Stegostoma tigrinum: one gene and its partner. Each later gene encodes a partner of the first gene's protein in a complex. Links are inferred from orthologs where the notes say so. Each region holds a gene or a part of one and is shown on either strand. Other genes may lie near its edges.

The links. Proteins that work in one complex are often made in the same cells at the same time.
Region 2: the proteins of ptenb (region 1) and mast2 are in contact, whole or in part, in an NMR structure (PDB 2KYL), measured with the Homo sapiens proteins. The link is inferred for Stegostoma tigrinum from reciprocal best matches to the Homo sapiens genes PTEN and MAST2. Residues at the interface, in NP_000305.3 of Homo sapiens: Pro391, Phe392, Asp393, Glu394, Asp395, Gln396, His397, Thr398, Gln399, Ile400, Thr401, Lys402, Val403; in NP_055927.2 of Homo sapiens: Lys1112, Lys1113, Tyr1114, Gly1115, Phe1116, Thr1117, Leu1118, Arg1119, Ala1120, Ile1121, Arg1122, Val1123, Tyr1124, Met1136, Trp1138, Glu1141, His1170, Val1174, Ile1177, Leu1178, Leu1191.

Annotation. Positions count from the first base shown.
Region 1 is NC_081373.1:46,075,424-46,084,905, reverse strand, and holds the start of ptenb (phosphatidylinositol 3,4,5-trisphosphate 3-phosphatase and dual-specificity protein phosphatase PTEN), read left to right. Parts: upstream 1-4,692; 5' UTR 4,693-5,944; coding exon 5,945-6,023; intron 6,024-9,482. Other genes in the region: atad1b (outer mitochondrial transmembrane helix translocase), read right to left, coding at 3,670-3,799. UniProt on the Homo sapiens protein: Dual-specificity protein phosphatase, dephosphorylating tyrosine-, serine- and threonine-phosphorylated proteins.
Region 2 is NC_081361.1:67,541,694-67,551,955, reverse strand, and holds the start of mast2 (microtubule-associated serine/threonine-protein kinase 2), read left to right. Parts: upstream 1-6,043; 5' UTR 6,044-6,490; intron 6,491-10,262. Other genes in the region: riboflavin-binding protein, read right to left, coding at 614-764. UniProt on the Homo sapiens protein: Appears to link the dystrophin/utrophin network with microtubule filaments via the syntrophins. Phosphorylation of DMD or UTRN may modulate their affinities for associated proteins. Functions in a multi-protein complex in spermatid maturation.

The DNA of each region.
Region 1 (9,482 bases):
AGCAGTACCTCTGGATTTGAAAGGTCCAGGTTCAAGTCCTGTCTGCCACGGAGATGTATCATAACATATCTGAACAAACTCATGTTGAAAGAAAATAAAACAGCTAAGTCGACCAGGAGCAACTAGAATCCTGGGAATAGTTCTATTCACTGACAGAACACGTCGGAAATGCTAATTTTTTGGGAGCTAGCTGTAAATCACAAGTAAAACCGATTTACCGGATGTTGTGTCAATGGGGACTTTTAAACACCTATCAAACTGGAAGAAGAAGACTTGGAGAACATTCAGGCTTGGGCTAAGAGGCAATTAACTTTCATGTCACACAAGCAATGACCAGCTCCAACAACAGAATTGAACCATTACCTCACTACATTCAATGACATTCTGGTCACCGAATTCCTCCTCATTATTAACATCTTGAGGTTACCATTAACCAGAATCTGAACTGGGCCAGCCATATAAGTACTCTGGTGACAGCTGCAGGTCAAAGACTCGGAATTCTACAAGGTTAACTCACTTCCTGTCAACTCAATGCTTATCTGTCATCTATGAAGCACAAGTCAGGAGTAGAGTGGAAATAGCTTCATTTACCTGAACAAGTGCAGTGCCATCAAAACTTAAGAAGCTGACATCAGCAGGACAAAACAGTCAGCTTGATTGGCATCCTAACCACTATTTTCAATATTCGCTTCCTTTGCCACTAACACAATAGCAGCAGTGCATAAGATCTACAAGAGAATTTGTGGCAACTTACCAATGATTCCCTGACAACACCTTCCAAATTCACACCACTATTATCCAGAAGGACAAGGGCAGCAGATGCATGGAAACATCACCACCTGCAAGTTCACCTCCAAGCATATCATTTGGACTCAGAAATATTTTGCCATTGCTTCACAGTTACTGGTTCCAAATCTTTGAAATCCCTTTCCTAATGTCACTGCAGGGGTACCTAAACTTCAAGGAGTAGAGTGGTTCAGGAAAGCAGCTCACCCCTACCTTCTTAAGGGCAACTAGTGCTAGGCAAGAAACGCTGGCCCAACGAGTGACTTCCACATCCCACAAGTGAACATTAAAAAAGACAACGGAAGGAGATTGTGGGTTTGTTTCTTGCAAGTGGCAATGGAGAATAATGTACTTGTGGGTCATCTAAGGTTTACAATGTGGAAGTATAATAGATGGGCTTTGGGAGCAAAGGGACATGAGAAATAAAATGGACTTGGATCACTGTAAAATGCACAGTACGGAAGGACATTTGGGGTCCACTAGCGCCCCATGCGTGGAAAAGTACTGAGCACAGTTTGCAGGTAGTATTAAATTTAGGAAGCCAGATGTGGGATAACAAATAGGTCCTGGATTTTTGTAGCGTTTTGGAAGGTGAGTTTTCAAAAAAGTACTACAGCAGAGGACGTAAAGCTTTGGTATTCGCCAAATTGATGGCAAGGGGTTGTTGAGTGTGACGTGCATGGACGAAGAGATGATACTGAATGGTTAAGGTTGAGACTTAGTGAACGGACGAGTGTGGTCAGAAGTCCAAAGAAACTGTGGCTTTTGTGTGTGTTTGCAGCTGGACAGTTTTCAGTGAGGATCAAAAGCAGTGTCATGGTTGAAAGAAATGGGAGCCATACAAGACAGCTGTATTCAGATTTAACCAGGGAGAGATCTTATTACAACATGACAAATTAAAAAAAGGAATTTGCTTAGGTTAACTTTATCTGAGCATCAGAACACAAAAGTCATTGAACCAAAACTTGACTGATTTTCACTCCACAGTGAAGTTTCCATCATTTCATAGTTAAAGCATTCGGTAAAATGGCACCAGAATTTAAATTAACTTAACTTGCAACTACAGGTGTGGAAAAGTTTATCATCTTGCTTAAACAGTTTCTCAATGCATTGCCATTATACCAGTTAATATTGCTACTGGATAAATCAGATCCCAGGTTGAAACCTGATTTGAAAGATCATACATTTTTCTTTAAATTAACATGGTCACCTTTCATTGAAACACAAGCAGGAAACACTGCAGAATTTATTTTAACAATAAAACAGAAGTTCATTATGCAACAGAAATGAAGCTAAAATAAAATAGAAAAAAACTAAGCTCTGTACTGTATGATTCTAAGCTATTTACACATAACACAATTTTAAAAGATTGAAACAGTAAAAATACAAGCCCATTTATCCAGACACCTAAGGTTTCTTTCTCTCTCTCTCACATCTAAAGGTTTAAATTAACTGTTTTTTTCCCCCCAATTCCTGGTTTTGTGAATTGTATTACCTCTCCCTTGATTAATAACACATCTGAGCCTAGTTTTCAGCTTCAAATAAACCCTTCATGCTTCTAATTAAATATTTTAAATATGGAATTTCAAACTAAAACCCTGACACTGAGATAATCTACTTCCTAACTCTTCTGAATTATCTCCTTACTCCAGGAAAGACTGTTCACACATCTAACTTCAACTAGGACTTCTGTCAACTAAAACCAAAAGGTTTACAATTCATAGATTTTCTCCAAGCTAGGGGGAAAAAAGAATCTTGATTCTTCTGAGTCAAAGCCAAAGCCTTTCAACGTTTACTGTGTCCAATCCTAAAATTCTCACAATAGAAACAAATGCTCATTAGCACTCCAAGAGGCTGCTCTCTGTCATAACTGGTCGAAAAAAAATCATGGCTCCAGAAGTAAAACAGAACTGCAGTTGCTGGAAATCTGAAACAAACAGAAATTTCTGGAGAAACACAGCTTGTCTGGTATTATCTGTAGACAGACAGCGAAATTAACATTTTGAGTCCGCAGACCTTCTTCGAAACTGATAGAAGCTAGGAAAACATGGTAAATACACTGAAGACTCCATGTGAAGAGAAAATGACTTCAGAAAACTGACAAGATAATTATTAAACCCCTTATAACAGACCAAGATCTGCGCACAACTAGTCCAAAATCCAAACACTAATATAGACAATATTAATTTGCATAAATCATAAATCCTAGGTCAGACCACACTCCAATCAATTGTTCAGAATGTTTATAAAATCATTAATTCATTTAAAATGAATGTCTCTCTTCCTCCTCAAGAAAGATGTCTGCTGCATTTGGCAAAAGAAAAACTGGTATCACATCCCTAGCTATAGAAAGATATTCCATTGGTTTGTGAAGAATTAGAATATCCAACATCAATGATTGTGCTCCTGAGATGCTGCTTGGCCTGCTGTGTTCATCCAGCCTCACATTTTATTATCTTGGAATTCTCCAGCATCTGCAGTTCCCATTATCAATGATTGACACTCGCTAGATTGTGAAGGATACTTCTGCTCAGATTTACACTCCAATGAACGTGCACGTTACAAAAACAAAGCCATTGATTATATATTGTCTGCTCCCTTCTTTTCAACCACAACGACTATTACATAAAATTTAAATAAAACTATACAATTGCAACTTAACAAAGCTGATCTGAACTAAAATAATTTGTCCACAAAGACAGTAGACATTAATTAAAATCATCCATACCGTTGTACAAGCTATTTCTAGTTTATTGTCAAATATCAAATTTGGCTTATACATCTTAGTCTTCAATTAATATTTATTAAAATACTTAATGGTAGACTACATTGTCTAATATTTCAAAAGTACTTTGTCAGTCATAATAGAACACTATCTCCAACCTTCATGTGATGAAAGATATAGGTATTTCCCCTTAATGTCTTGACTCCACATATCTGCGGCGGGGAAACAGCCCGATGTCCCACGAGCTCCCAAATTACAATATTCTATCGATAACCAACATACATGCATACACAAATCTACGAATAAGATCCATAAAATAATTGGAATAAACAGTGAGGATTTCAGAAGTGTCTGAGACACCACCTGTAATTGCCAAGGCAGCGGTATGGAAAAGACTATTCCCGCACAGTTGCCATCTCGTTCAGAAACTGTGGTTTTACTTCCAAGCTCAGTCCAAGACAGTCCCAAAGTGCTCTAAGGCTCAACATCAGGGTGCACTGTCACCGGAAATCCCAGAGAGACAGCGATTCCCAAAGTATGGGCAGCACGGGGTGGGGGAAACGACCGTATTCCTCAGTAATGGATTCCACGCAACGATATCAGTTGATCAAAATCCAATGGATAAAACCGGCCCGAAAGGCGGAGAGCGAGAGTTTGTAACACATGCGCAAGCAGGTTGCTCCTTTACCAAGATGGCGAAAGACAGAGAGCGAAAGAGAGAGAGACTTTCCCCCTCCACACAGCCCGGAAAAAACCCTCCAAGTCACTTGGTTCATCATTCCATGAATAAACAGATCAATGAGCGTCGGGTTCCAGCCAAATCCTCCCCGTACGTTCTGCACGATCTGGTTCTTTTCTCCCCGGATAGCCCGGGCATTTTTGGTAGCGGGGACCCGTGAGGCTGTACTCGGTCAATGGGAGTGAGGGTAGAGAAGGGGGCGCTTCCGCTGTTCGCCTTCGGGGTAAGTAACCTGGAGACTCGGCCGTTCAACGGCCGCAACTCGCGCTCTACTGGCCACGCCCCCTTCCCCTGGGAGCCGTACCACCCCCCGCCCTCCTCCACCACTGTTCAGGAGCGACAGGAGAGAGAAAAAAAAATCATCGCAGCGGACACGTGACTGCGCAAATAGTGCCAGCACGTCCTTCTCACGCCGCTGCGAGATCGCCAGCACCAATGTTGTAATACTGATTTAATTCACTTCGTATTCGAACCTACACCCCCCTCCCCCAACATGCCACTACATACTCTCAACCCTGACACAACAGCCGGTCCCGAAATCCAACGGCTGGCCTGGAAAAGGGTACAAGTCAATCCCAGGGCAGTGCTTGGAAGGGCGACTGAGGAGATTTAATTGGTGAGCGGGGAGAAGAGTGAAAGCGGGGACTATATCCAAAGGGCGGAGTGTTACACGCTCTCTCTCCTCCTCCTCTCCCCCCTCCCCCTTCTCTCTCTCTCTCTCTCGGTCTCTCTCTCTCTCTCTCATTCCCACTCGGGGCCATTGCGCTTTTTTTCCCTGGGAAGCCATCATGGAAGTTTGAGAGTCCGGCGGTGGCCCCAGCAGCAGCCTTGGTGGGGGAGGGGGGGGGAAGAAGCTGGAGTCGGTGCTGTGGCCGGGACGGGAGCTGGAGCCGTGGCCAGGGCCGGGGCCAGAGCGATCGGCCGAGAAAGAAAAAGGAAGGAAAGAAAGAGGAAAAAAAGAAAGAAGAGCAAGTGTGCGTGTGCTGGAGGGGAAGCTCGGCTTCCTGCTGACTTTTTTTCTGAAAAATAATGCTTATAATTTTTTAACACGGAGTGGATCAGGATCCCGGAGTGTGTGGATTATTATTTCTGACGGAGCGCAAGGAGAGCAGCCACGGATGTATTTTTTAAAACGCGTAATTTATTGACAGCGGAGGGGTAAAGGAATCGACTTCTTTGGATTTTTTAAAAAAAGATCCCTTTCTTTTAAGCGAAGGCATTGAGATTTTTTCCTCCCTCCATTTCCCTGCCTATCAGCCCCCCCCTTTCCCCCCACCCCCCGACCGACGGTAACGGCGGCGGCGGCGGTGGAGGCGATCGTGGAGGAAAAATCGTAGCAAGAGGCGGTGAATGTGGCCACCGTCTTCCCCCGTTGCCCCACCAATTCCTCTTCCCGCTAAAGGGTTTTACTTTTTACCCCCTCTCTCCCACCCCCACCCCCCGTTTTCCTCCTCCTTTGATGGTCATCTGAAGAAACCGGAGCAAATCCACCACCCCCCAACCTCCCTTACTCCTGCGGAGGATATTAACGGAGCCGGGGGGGAAAGGCGAGAGGCAGATTGGGAGAGAGAGAGAGTGCGTGTGTATGTTGTGGAGCTGGGTGTTAGGCCCCTGTGTGACAGCAATCCAGAAGGTGCCAACAAACCCATTTCCACATCCTCCACCTCCACCACCTCCTCTTCCTTCAACCAGGCATGGCTTCGAGAATCAAAGAACTTGTCAGCAGGAACAAGAGAAGATACCAGGAAGACGGATTCGACTTGGACTTGACATGTATCCATTTTTCTTTTCATAAGGAGGGGTTTGGGTGGGAGGTTGGGGTTTGTTGAGGAAGGTGGTTTCAAATATTGCGTCTTTATTCTTGCCTTACTGAATCAAGGTTTGAATGGAGACGTGCAAAAAAAAATCGATGCACTCCCTTTACTTCGTATTAGATAAGGGAGGGGAGACCCTGCCGTCACTCTTGCAGAAACTGAGGGAAATTACACAATTTTAACAAATTGGTCCTATTCAGTGCTGGAGTACAGTTAAATTGAGTAACTTGCAAGTGACTGTATTAAAATATTGGGTGAGTTCCTTTTTGTTTGTTTTTCTTTAAAATATGAGTAATTAGGTGTACAGGCCTTGCATTATAAGTTGAATGTGTAATGTCATTATATACATTGCTTTGTGGTACTGAAATACCTATTGTGCAGATCTAGAGCTGCCATGCGTAGCCTCTGCAGGGGGGCATACGTACTGCACAGAGTGCGTTAGGTCTTGGCCTAGATTAGAATGGATGAAGTTAATTTTGTCTTTGGCTAAAATGTTTAATATCTGTTGAACAATTTTAAAGTGTACGTTTTACGTTCAGTAGTTTTGCACGAGCTTGCGATAATAAAAATAATCATTTTGCATGGATGAGTATCGTTAATTCACGTTGCTGCTATTGTAAATCACTAGTGTTCAGGAGTTTAATTTTTACTTTGTGCACAGTGAAGCAGATGTCCCTGACTTGAGCAGTAGACTCTGTAGGTGCAGTTGAGAGCTCGTAGCATTTTGCCTTTGATACATATATCGTCACTGACAATGATTTTAGGAGTCATTTGAAGTTGTCTTTGCTTGACTTGAATGGATCTAGTGTCTCGTAATTTTGCTGATCTTGCTATAATACCGCTGGCCTTCTAGTTTAGCAGTTTTAATAGAAGGAAGGAATACAGTAACATGCAATAGGAATACTGTAACAAGCAGTTTATGGTGGTGATGTCATGGTGCATCAGTTTAAATTACAAGACGCAATGATCTTGTGCACTGCTACGACTTGAAATAGCGTCTAAATTTTCACTAGATTAGAATAAACTGCAGTTTTGTATTTTGTGAAATGGTTTGATATTTAAAGGGAAAAAAGTACTGAAACTTCTGTTTGAGGAATGTGACTTGCAACTCAGTAGACTTGAATGCCCATTATGCGCATTAGGCTAAATTGGATTGTACTGTCTTTGGATGAGGCAGGAATTATTCATTCACGATCCAGAATCCAATTTGTGTGTTGATATAACTTGAATTTTTTTTCCACTGGTTGGTACGTTTGTGTTGACGTTTTGGTTAATCAATTTTGCCTATTTTCACAGTTTCCTTTGCTCAGGTGTAAAGCTTTGCAGTATATATATGCTAGATATTTGCATAACTTTGGTTGAATATCTTGAGGCAGAGCCACTAGGGTAATACTATTTTGTAAATAATAGCAACATAGCGTTCAGGAATGATATTCATTAGTACTTGACTGTTAATGCTTTAGGTTAATTATGACAGAGCTTGAAAGAAACCTATGTGTCTCAGATCTACTGGATGGGAGAATATTTTAAAAATGCATGATGTTAGTCACTCAGTGCTGCTTGAATACAGTATGGCTGCTTTATATGTGATGAACTTTACAAGTTGTTTGAGTTTCATGCAGTATATTTATGATTCAGCTTTATTACATGCTGGTTTATAAATATAAGTTGAAAACCTAACATTTGGGAAGTATTTTGAAACTTGACTCAGAAAAACGAAACAAAACAAAGACATTAATGTATGCTTAATTCAGATTTGAGTATAGAGGATAGGTGGCTTAATTAAAAGAAAATTCTGCATATTTGTTCAGTGCTTTGTGACGCATCTTACCTGCCCCAGCCAGTTCTCTTGCAAAGCGCACACATTTTATACATTTTATTGTTGACCCTTAATTTGAGATTCGGTGAAATTTTAAAGCTCATATTTCAAATATTACAGGTTTTTTGGTTTTGAATCAAATGTAATTTTGGTTTTGTGCCTTCATGTTTGGAATGAGTGGGGATGTAGAATCGGGACAAAAATGAAATAAAAGCTGGTAACCTTGAATGAGTAATATTGAAAGGAAACAGCAGTGCAGTAGTTACTGTTAAATCACATTTGCAATATTTACTTTGTATTGCATACATTAATAAGTTGAAATCCATATTATACCCATTTTGGGAGACATTAATGTGCTTAAAATTTTTGCTGTGAGAGCTTAGATTACATGGTGCAATGGGTTTCACTTAAATCATGCAATTCAGCCATTGTTGGTTGTCATCTGTCGAGGACATTCTAACACTGGTCAGATGAGAAATAAGACTTGCTGTGCGCTAGTGGTAAAAGTGATATGGGATATTTTATTTTGTTAAAGGCCATATGTAAGTGCAAGGTGTAGAATATATTATTCAGTTCTGATTAATCAGTTTTGAGACATTCTGGCTCTGTAGCTATCAGTCTTGCTTCTGAGGCAGATTGTTTATAGATTGAAGTTCTACTGTAGGGTCGGTATACAAAATCGTAAGTTGACATTTCACTGTACTCAAAGTGAGAACTGCATTGTTGGAGGTCTTATCCTTTGAATGAAACACTAAATACTATGTGCATAATTCTGATGCCCAAACCCCTCTCCTTTACACCAAGTTTACTGACTAATAATCTTGGAACAGTGCCGATACTAAGAAAGTTAATTGTTCATTTATCCATCGCTGTTACTGAGATCTTGTTATATAGCTAAACGGCAATCATTTTCCACAAAAGTCACTGCATTTTGTTACATTGTAGGAAGTGATTAATTGTATATGAAGCAGATTGAGATGCTGTATTACCACTTTTTGGATGTGTCACAGCATCTATGGTAATTCAGCATTTGAACGTCTGTTTCTATAGTGTAATGTGTAATTTTCAGAGAGTCCATGATTACAAGCAATTTTATTGGCATTTACATAAGGCAATGCAAAATTGAGACATTGGCAATGAAAAATGTCAAGACGTTGAGAGAAAGCCAGAAGTAGGAGATAAAGTTATGAGTCTATAAATGTAACTCAACTCGAGCATGTGTTATCGTTTCGGAAGAAAGTTTGTATATATGTGAACTTAACATTTGGTATGCTTTGTAGCTTGTGCATGTTACAGCAATTGACAAATTATCTGAAGTTCTACGGTATGATTTCTTTGCTTAATCAGCTTGTTTTTCAAAAAAAGATTGTTTCCTTAAGATTCCTTTGTTCATCAGGCAGTGACATAGAGTCGCTCAGCATGGAAACAGACCCTTGGTCCAGTTTGTTCACACTGACTAAACATCCCAATCTGACATAGCCCCATTTGCCAGCATTTGGCACATATCACTCCAAACCCTATTCATATACCCGTCCAGATGCCTTTTAAATGTTGTAATTATACCTACCTCTACCACTTCCACTGGCAGCTCATTCCATA
Region 2 (10,262 bases), on another chromosome or scaffold:
GAGATGTAAGGAAAGGCACCTCAGTAGAAGGAAGGATGTGCTATAATCTTTATGATCAGGACACAAAGACACAAGCCAAAATAGGGAAGGAATGCAGTTTGTTTATATTTAGTTGTACTGATTAATAATGTGCTGATGGGATTTAACAGATAGACAGATAGAATCACATAAGAAATGGCGCAAAGGTGGGCAGTACTGTCTAACCAAGTCTGCTCTGCCATTTGATAAAATCATAACTGAACTTATACCTCAACTGTATTTTCCTGCCCTCGTCCTATGTTCTTCTCTGATTAGAGCATTATTACTTATAGTGAACTGAACTTATCAATGGAGTATCCATGCACATTCGAGGCACAGAATTCCAAAGATTCTCAACCGTCTGAGTGAAGAAATTCTTTCTTGTCTTAATCCTAAATTGCCAACGCGTTATCCTGTTGAGCAATATGGGAGAATTGGATAGATATTCAACAAAGTCCCAGATTGACTGGCTGATTGATCTCCTTTGGTTCTTTACTTTTTAATGAACTTGATGTTTGTCTTTTCTTCCCCCCCCAAAAAAATCACATGACTGTTAAAACTATGATTTGGCTTTGGATTAGTCACCTTAACTTACATTGAGAATACAGTTTGCACTCCCTCATGCCTGGTTCAGGACCAGGCACTGCTTTGTGATTTATTCCTGATATACAGCTGTCTCCATAGCAAGGAACTGCCAGTAGGAATGTTGCAACAGAAATAGTTAGAAATGTGATCTGCATGGCCATTTGTTTTCAACCTGCAAAAGAAAGCAAAACAGATGTGGAATTGTGATCTGCAGTTCCCATTATCTCTGGAATTGTAATGTATTCTTTTTAGGTTGCTGGATACTAAATCTGGAGTCCTTTGTTTCTTTATTATGAGGTTACCCTCATCAGAAAAGCCATAGTTTCCTGAGATCTCTACAGTACATTTTTAACCAACATAAGTTTTCAATTTTGGTCCAAGATGATGAATAGAAAACCTCTTTGTAATCACGTTCAGATGCTTGATCTATTCTGTGCTTCCATGGGACCTTCCTCCCGTCAAAGCTATCATCTTGATCCAGACTTTTAACAAATGTATGCATTTATTGTGTAATAGCTAGAGAAGTGAATCAATAATAGTCAAACATACATGATTATAGTGGTTATTAAACTAACCCATTTTGTGCATTTGCTATGACTGCAAAATACTTTATTGAATGTATAAATGTTCTTATCACATCCCTTGTCTGAGGTCAGTTTCTAACATATTCTAACACCTTGGTGATTTAAATATATAAGGTATTTGTCAGCTTTTTGGAGAACAGTCATCACTTCTTTCATTTTTAATCCAGAAAGAAATGCTCAGAAAAATTCAGTACTGAATGCACTGAAACAGGAAAATCCACAAATATGCCACAAATACAGAGTAAAAATAAACAACATACAGAAGGAAAAACAAACAGCAAACTAAGGGAGAAATGCAAACACATTGAAAGCAGGAAAAACATGTAGAGAGGTATTACAGAAAAGGGAAAAAAAGAGAAAGGCTCAACAGAATGGAAGAAAAACAAATTATTGGAGACAACATGCAGAATGTTAGAGTGGAATAAAAATGTAAAGCGATAGACAGGGTGCAGAAGATAGATATTGTGAAAAGAAAGCGAGAACAAAGCTGCAACAAAATGTCAGCCAGAAACACAGCATGCAAAGACTGAGGTTGTGTGACAAAATCAGAAACAAAGAAAGTACAATGTGATAACTGACAGAGGATCACAGAGCCCGGACGACTAAAGTTACAATCAACAAATATACCAGTTATCCAGGGATTATTTCTATACATTTTAATAAGGTTGGGATTTCAAGATAAGGAAGAAGATCATCAAATCTTTTTGATGTTAAATTACATGTTTGGGGAATTATAACAGAAGTAATTTACCTAGCAAAAGAATTTTTTCTCTCCATTTTTGGTCATTTTGCTTTTTTTCCACATCCTTCTATGAGTGAGAAGGTAGGCAAAAATTCTAATTCCTACTCGTGAGACCAGAAGAAATTGGAACACCACATTCAGCTCACTGAGCGTGCTCTGCTATTATGATAAAGCCATGGCTGACCTGATTGCATCCTTAATTACATTTCCTGCTTGCCCCCAGTGATCCCAGACTCCCATGTCAATCAAAAATTTGTCTAACTCAGCCTTGAATGTAGTCAATTACCTAGCCTCCACTGCTTTGTGAAAGAGAATTCTAAATACAACTGACCCTGACATAGAAAATTTCTATTTTCCATCTTAAGTACAAATGCCATTGTTTTTAAATTGTGCTCCCAGTCTGAGATTCCCCCACAAGAATAAACATCGTCTCAGCACCACTCTGTCAACCTCCTTCTGGATCTTATATGTTTCAATAAGATCCCTCTCATTCTTACAAATTACAATAAATGTTCTACATTTGTTTGTCACTTGTATAAATAATTTAGATGAGAATTTAGGAGGAATGGTTTGTAAGTTTGTGTCTGACACCAAAATCGGTGGTTTAGTGGACAGTGAAGAGGTCATCTAGGATTACAAAGAGATCTTAATCAATTGGGTCAATGACTGCCAGATGGAGTTTAATTTGGATAACTGTGAGGTACTGCATTTTGGTCATACAAACCACGGCAGGACTTATACAATTAGTAGTAGGGCCTCGGAGAGGGTTGTAGAACAGAGAGACTTAAGGATTCAGTAATATAATTCTTTGAAGCCTATGAATGGCAGGTCTTTTCCCTAGGGTGGGGAATGTTAAGACTGGGGGAATATTTTTAAAGTGACAGGAGAAAGATTTTAAAAAAGTCAACTTTTTTTTACACAGAGTGGTTAATGTCTGAAATGAACTTTCAAAGAAAGTGGTGGATACAGGTATAGTTAAACATTTAAAAGACATTTAGATAAGTACACAAACAAGAAATGTTTGAAGGGATATGGGCCAAGGGCAGGTAGGTGGGACTAGGTGAGTTTGGGATAATGGTTGGCATGGACTGGTTGGACTGAAGAGTTTGTTTCCATGCTGTACAACTCTATGACTCCATGGACCTAAACCTACTCAGCCTTTCATTGTAAGACAAACCTTATCAGGATTCAGTCGAGTGAACCTGTCTCTGAAATACTTTCAAGTAACAAGAAGAAAAATTGCATATACTAGGTGAGGTCTTACTACTGCCCTGTATAGTTGTAGTAAGACTTGCTTAATTTTATAAAACATCCCCCTTGTAATAAAAGCCAACATTTTGCTTGCCCTCCTAACTACTTGCTATATCTGCCTGCTAACATTTTGTGAATTATGTACATGGGCACCTAAATCTCTCCACACCAGATCATTCTGCACTCAAGTATCGTACTTTTCTATTCTGTCAAAATGGACAAGCTTGTATTTTTCCCACATTATACACCAGCTGTCATATATCACATATCAATTCATATCTCTTTGCTCTTTGTGTCATCTATAAATTTGACTACACAACAGTCAGTTTATGCAAACCATTAATATAGATCATAAATAATTGAAGTTTATCTTGCAATACTCCACTTGTGGCAGCTTGCTAATACAAATGAACTATATATCCTGACTTTCATTAAGCAACCAAGTCTGACAAAGGTCTTTCGCCTTTTATAAAAGAAGTGCTGTAGGAATTAGGAATCTGTCGTGTTTGAATTACATTATCCTGCTATTCTTTGGAAAAAGCTACAAACAATACAGCAAAACCATTTGATGTTATAAACAATGCCTAGCTCCTTTTAAAGCTCCAATTATACAAAAACTAATGGACAAGAATGAAAACAATTATATATTATACATGTTAATAAACACAGTATCTCATTTTTAGAATATCAGACTGTAAATTTTAAATTACATCCATACCAAGCATAAACTGCAGTCACTTTTATTTACATCTCAGATTTCACAAATTTGAGTTACTGTCAATTCAAGAAAAAATAGGATCACTTTCTGGAGCATTTAATGATAATTCAGCAACTCCTTTAGAACTGCAATAAACTGCAATTTTATGACTGTACCTGAGATCAGAACTAATGCATTTCTATAACTTTCATTTGCAGCATTGATAGGCTATGATTATTATGGCAAACAACTTGAACAGAATATTAGAAATTCTTGCAATTTATTTTCAATAAATGTTATCAATTTTCTGTCCTCAGTTTCACATGTCTCTCTGTTTTCAACTTAAATGTCAATATCATTTTAATTATTATGAATATTTTACTGAGAATACAGAGTACACAATTCTAAAAGTAAAGATGGACAAGAGCAAAAAAATTCCACTGAATTGTGTAATAAAAGCGCCATCTACAAATCACCTAACTTTCAATCATTTTTGTATATTTTTTTCTAACTGCCTTGCTTAAATTTCAGATTACTCTTTCTTTCTAGTTACTCAGAATTAATATGCTATAGCTACATTATAACATTTATGACAAACCATTACAGATCAATTACCTGTTGTAGTGACAATAGAATTCAAAGACTCCTACTTTTCTCGTATCAGTCATTTTTATATTCTATCTGAAAAATGATCTGTGTCTGTCATTGGTTCAGTTGTGAGAATGGTGACCTTTACCCTTAACAAACTTACTAAAATCTAGTTTATCTGAAATGTTAATATAATCAGTACAAATGTTGACAAAGACTTGGAGATAAGCAATTCAGTGTATTTTCTAAATCAGCTAAACAGTTTGTCGGTAGCTGAGCTTTGGAAATGTTGCCATTTCTACTGCTGAGCAAATAACTTCCGCACGTTAAGATCAGCTCCCACCATTTCTTTCTAGACAGCTTGTAATTCCTTTTGATCTTTTCATCTTAAAACATGTGAGAATACAAGAAAATTACAGCATAATGACATCAAGTTAGTTTGATATGAACAATGCTTCGGTAACACTCCCACTTTTAAGTTAGAAAATTGTGGATTCTTTCATATTCTTGGCCATGCTCTGCTGCTGAAGAATAATTACAAAGTTTGCTGAGGTTAAGGAAAACATTAACTGTACTTAAGAAACTTGTCACTGTGGCTTCACCGTACCAGAAGGCTGTAAGAGTGCATGATTGTGTGATGTTGCATCACTTTCTGTAAGCATGTACATTGTCTCATTAGCATACTATCATCAGAATTAAGCCCTAATGCTACAACTCCCCAACTTTCTGATTTTACCTTTTGTAATCGATCTTGTCACAGCCTCTGATTTTAAACTCTTTTTTTTTACAGGGACAACCACTTTAATGGCAGGTTCACCTGTTGATCTGATCGATTCAAGTCCTCTGTCTGGTGTGTCAGACTCTGCTGGCCAGGAAGAGAGTTGACAGATGGCTCCAATTTAACAATCAAGCCGCCTTTTCTCAAATGTATGTAAACATAGAGATAACAAGGTGTAGAGCTGGATGAACACGGCAGGCCAAGCAGCATCTTAGGAGCAGGAAAGCTGACATTTCAGGCCTAGACCCTTCTTCAGAAATGGGGGAGGGGAAGGGGGCGCTGAAACAAATAGGAAGACATGGAGAGGCGAATAGAAGATGGATAGAGGAGAAGTTAGGTGGAGAGGAGTCAGACCGGTCAAAGAGGTGGGGATGGAGCCAGTAAAGGTAAGTGTCGGTGGGGAGGTAGCACCTCATATTCCGCTTGGGAACCCTGCAGCCCAATGGTATCAATGTGGACTTCACAAGCTTCAAAATCTCTCCTCCCCCCCATCGCATCCCAAAACCAGCTCAGCTCGTCCCTGCTTCCCTAACCTGTCCTTCCTTCCACCTCAAGCCCCACCCCCATCTCCTACCTACTAACCTCATCCCACCCCCTTGACCTGTCTGTCCTCTGTGGACTGACCTATCTCCTTCCTACCTCCCCACCTACACTCACCTTTATTGGCTCCATCCCCACCTCTTTGACCTGTGTGTCTCCTCTCCACCTATCTTCTCCTCTATCCTTCTTCTATCTGCCTCCCCCTCCCTATTTATTTCAAAACCCTCTTCCCCTCCCCCATTTCTGAAGAAGGGTCTTGGCCCGAAACATCAGCTTTCCTGCTTCTCTGATGCTGCTTGTCCTGCTGTGTTCATCCAGCTGTACAACTTGTTACCAAAGAAAGATGCAGTAGTTTTTGTCAAGGTCTGCCCTGAACAGCTCCATGATGCCGGACTCTGTGGTCTATAGGCTGGTCCCGGGGATGTACACTGAGAGAAACATTGACCACGCCTGGAGGATCATCAACTCACTGACTTTCTTTCGTCTGCCTGAAACTTGTTGGTCTTCTCGAGTCAAGAGTTGACATTGACTGAGTGTTGCAGATTGGTACATTTCAAGGTCCAGGGCTACATGCTGACGGATACACTAAAGCTTTGGGCAGATACCACCAAGATGCACTGGGGAAAGATTACCATTTAAGGTCTTCCTGCCGAAGTATAACGGTCGTCCGATTAGTTGTCAGACCCTCTCATTGCCTCAGAATGAACGTAAGTAGTATCCTGCACAAAAAGAAAATGTGTTTACAACTGTAAGGTAGCGCTGATAAATGTCAAAATTCCACTTTTATTTGTTTTTTTTCTCTGCAAAGACAGAACTGGTTTAGAATCTTTGTATGTACTTTTAGATGACTTTTTATGAATAAAGTATGTTTTTAAAATAAAAGAAGTCTGGTCATGTTGATGAAGGCAACATTTGACTGTTGATGACTTCTTTGTGTAGAAGACTGCTTGTGTGTCGAAATGAGCGCACATCTGTTCTCATGAACCATTCCATTTTCAGTTTCAGTGAGGTAGGACAGTGGATGTGGTGTCTGTTTCACCACTTGTTAACAAGTTTGGTCTCAAATCCAAACTGGCTGTCCTGTTTAGAGGTCTGGTTGGTTCAGTGCTTTGTGATATCTATTGTTGTTCCACATCTGACTAGAGAAGTATTCATCTTCTTTCTCCATCACATTTTTCAAGCACAATCTTGTTTATGCAGCGTGAGTATATGTGAAAGAGTATGGAGTGAGTTCTCAGTCCTCTTCCCATGAGGAATTCATATGGAACTAAATCATTTTAGGACTAAGTGAAAGAAAGATTGCTCAGAAGTGAAACTTGAATGTTATTGTTTTTCTTAAGCCATACTTTAGCTATCACATTTGTAAAGGCCTCCCACTTGCCGGAGGTCCCTTTGTCTGCAAACTAACCACTCCAATCAAGCCCTGAAAGCTGCTGTCTAATTCCGTCAAAATTTGCCTTGTCCCAATTTCAGACTTGAACTGTGGACCAGTTTTGTCCCTCTCCAAAACTATTTTAAAATTAATAGAACTATGGTCACTGGTTCCAAAGTGCTCCCTTACTGTCACCTTAAGTTACTTGTCCTGCCCTATTTCCCAAGAGTAGTTCGACTTTTTCCCCTTTCTGAGTAGGACCCTCTATATACTGCTTGAGGAAACTTTCCTGAACACACTTAACAAATTCCACCCCATCTGAGCCCATAACGCTATGGCAGTCCAATCTATGTAAGGAAAATCAAAATTCCCCACTATGACAACCCTGTTGCTCCTGTAAATCTCCCCAGTCTCCCTACTTATTTGTTCGTCTAATTCCCATTGACTATTTGGAGGCCTCCAGTATAGCCCCAATAATGTCACAATTCCCTTCTTATTTATTAGGTCCACCAACAAAGGCTCTCTGGATGATCCCTCAGTTATTTTATCTCTGACTGCTGCTGTGACACTGTCCTTAAGCAAAAATGCAATTCCCCCTCCCTTCTTTCCTCTACTTCTGTCCTGCCTAAAGCACCTGCACCCTAGCACATTAAGTTGCCAGTCCTGTCCCTCCCTTAGCCATGTTTCTGAAATGGCTGTAATATCCTAACCCCACACACATATTCATGCCCTGAGTTAATCAGCCTTACGTGTCAGCCCTCTTGCATTGAAATAGGTGCAATTTAACCCAACAGGCATTCCTTGCTCCCTGTTCTGTCCTAGTCTGACCTGTCTCTTTAACTTGCCATTTCTGATGACTGAACCTCCTTCCAGCCTCAAACTTGCATCCCTGCTGTTGAGAATTTCAACACCAGAGGGGGAGTGGGCCGAGAAATAGCAATTGGAGTTCAATGGTGTGTGGGCAGCAATAAGCAGTTTGCTGAGATATATCCATACAAAGGAACAATTAGCAATTAACTGAAGCAGCAGCAGTTATTTCTGTTGAACAAGAAGGTCATGCCACATGATCTCTAGAATGCAGATCATTAGCATCACCCAATACAGCCTGCAGTTACTTCGGGTTCAGAGATCATCTGTATGGCTTCAGATAGTCAGGCATGCATTAATCATAAGGGAAGGGTTGGGTACTATGAGCAGATGGTGGGGACACATAACTCGTGAAGAATATGCAGAAGTGGAAGTCCTGTTGAAATGACAGGACTCAGCACCTTGCAAGAAAATATATCCTGTTTTTGCAGTAAAGGATTAACATAGTTTATTTTATACAATGTTGCATGTAACCATTGTGAGGCAAAAATATGTTGTTTTGAGTTGTAAATGGCAAGGTGTCTTGCAGCTTGACTCTAAGGCCTCTTCCACACAGTATTGGTACAAGCTTGAATAAAGACCACCTTGGTACGACTACACAGACTGAAGACTCGATTTGTCCTATCTCTCCAACATTGATCGACTTAAAACTTCAGGTTGAACCACAATTTGCTGAATGAAATTGACAATTAGCTGTGAGACTTCACATTCACTGTTGATTATTACTTCTGCTTCCTGGAGGTGTTGTAGCGCAACTTATTGCCTCATGCCAGGTTCTGTCTGTATGGATCTGTGGATCAGCACACCGTCCATGTGCTATCCAGTCCTTCAAGGATCTTGACACTGTCCTCTGAGATTTTTGGTCCTAATGTAATGCTGTTTTTTAATCTTTTGAAACAAAATTTTGCAAAGTAATGAGGAATGTGAGCAACTTAGATTCTTCATCTTGGGGCACATTTTTTGCATGTGTTTCATGAACGTTGGATTCTTCCCCAATTCTTTTCAAGGTCATGTCTGCAGACTACTTAGAATGAAATTGGTGTTCAACTGTTTTACTCAGCTGTGTAAGAGCTACACAGATTCTGATAGATCCATTGGGTTTTAGTATTAGAATCATCTCCAAGCACAAGCTTGATGTTTCCATCATGGGTGGAATAAACCACTGAACCAATTTCCTTCTTTAACTTTGCAAGAGTGGATGAGGAATTTTTCTACAAGTAAACAGAAAGACTGGCTTCATTTCAGGATGTAGCATGATGTGGCTTCCTGTCATCAACCATCATAGTCTTATGAACAGCTGTGGAAATACAGCTCGGAAGTTTCAACTCAAATTCTCAGCTTTTCAGTTTGTCAAATCTGCAAATTAGACAAAAGCTGATAAAAGCATTCCTTAAGAGTGAGCAGCTCAGCAACGATGTTGTGGGTATCACAGACATGTGGCTGCATGGGGATCAATGCTGTGAACTAAAAGACCAAGGATACGTGACCTATTGAAAGGACAGGCAAATGGGTAGAAGAGGCAGGCTTGTCTTGTTAGTAAGAAGTGAAATTAACTTGATAGCTAGAAATGATGTTGTGTCAGAATGTGTAGCATCTATGTGGGTAAAACTGAGGAACCAGAAAGGGGGAAAAAAAGCCTGAATGAAGTTTGTGTACAGGCCTCCTCACAGTAGTCAGGATGTGAGGAAGAAACTGAATCAGGAGATAGAAAATACATGGAAGAAAGGCACTATTACAATAATCATAGGGGATTTCAATATTCAGGTGGTCTGGGAAAATCAGGTTGGTACCAGATCTCGCGGAAAGGAATTTATAGAATGTCTATGAGATGGTGTATCTTTGGAGTAGCTTGTGGTACAGTCCAGTAGAGAACAAGCAATTCTGGATTTCGTGATGTGTAATAAGGCAGTTTTGTTAGAGGGAGCTTAAGGTAAAGGAACCCCTAGGAGGCAGTGACCAAAATGTTATAGAATTCACCCTGCAGTTTGAGAGGGAGAAGCTTGAATCAGATGTAATTATTTTACAATTGAGTTAAAATAACTAGAAAGGCGTGAGCGAGGAGCTGGCCAGACTTGTTTGGAAGGGCAGCCTAGCAGGGAAGACTGGAGTAGCAATGGCAAGAGTTTTTGGAGGTAATTTGGGAAGAAGAAGTTTAGTGGGGAAAGATGAGGCAACCATGGCTGACAAGGGATTTCAGGGACAGCATAAAAGTGAAAGAAAAATCATAGATGTGGTGGAGA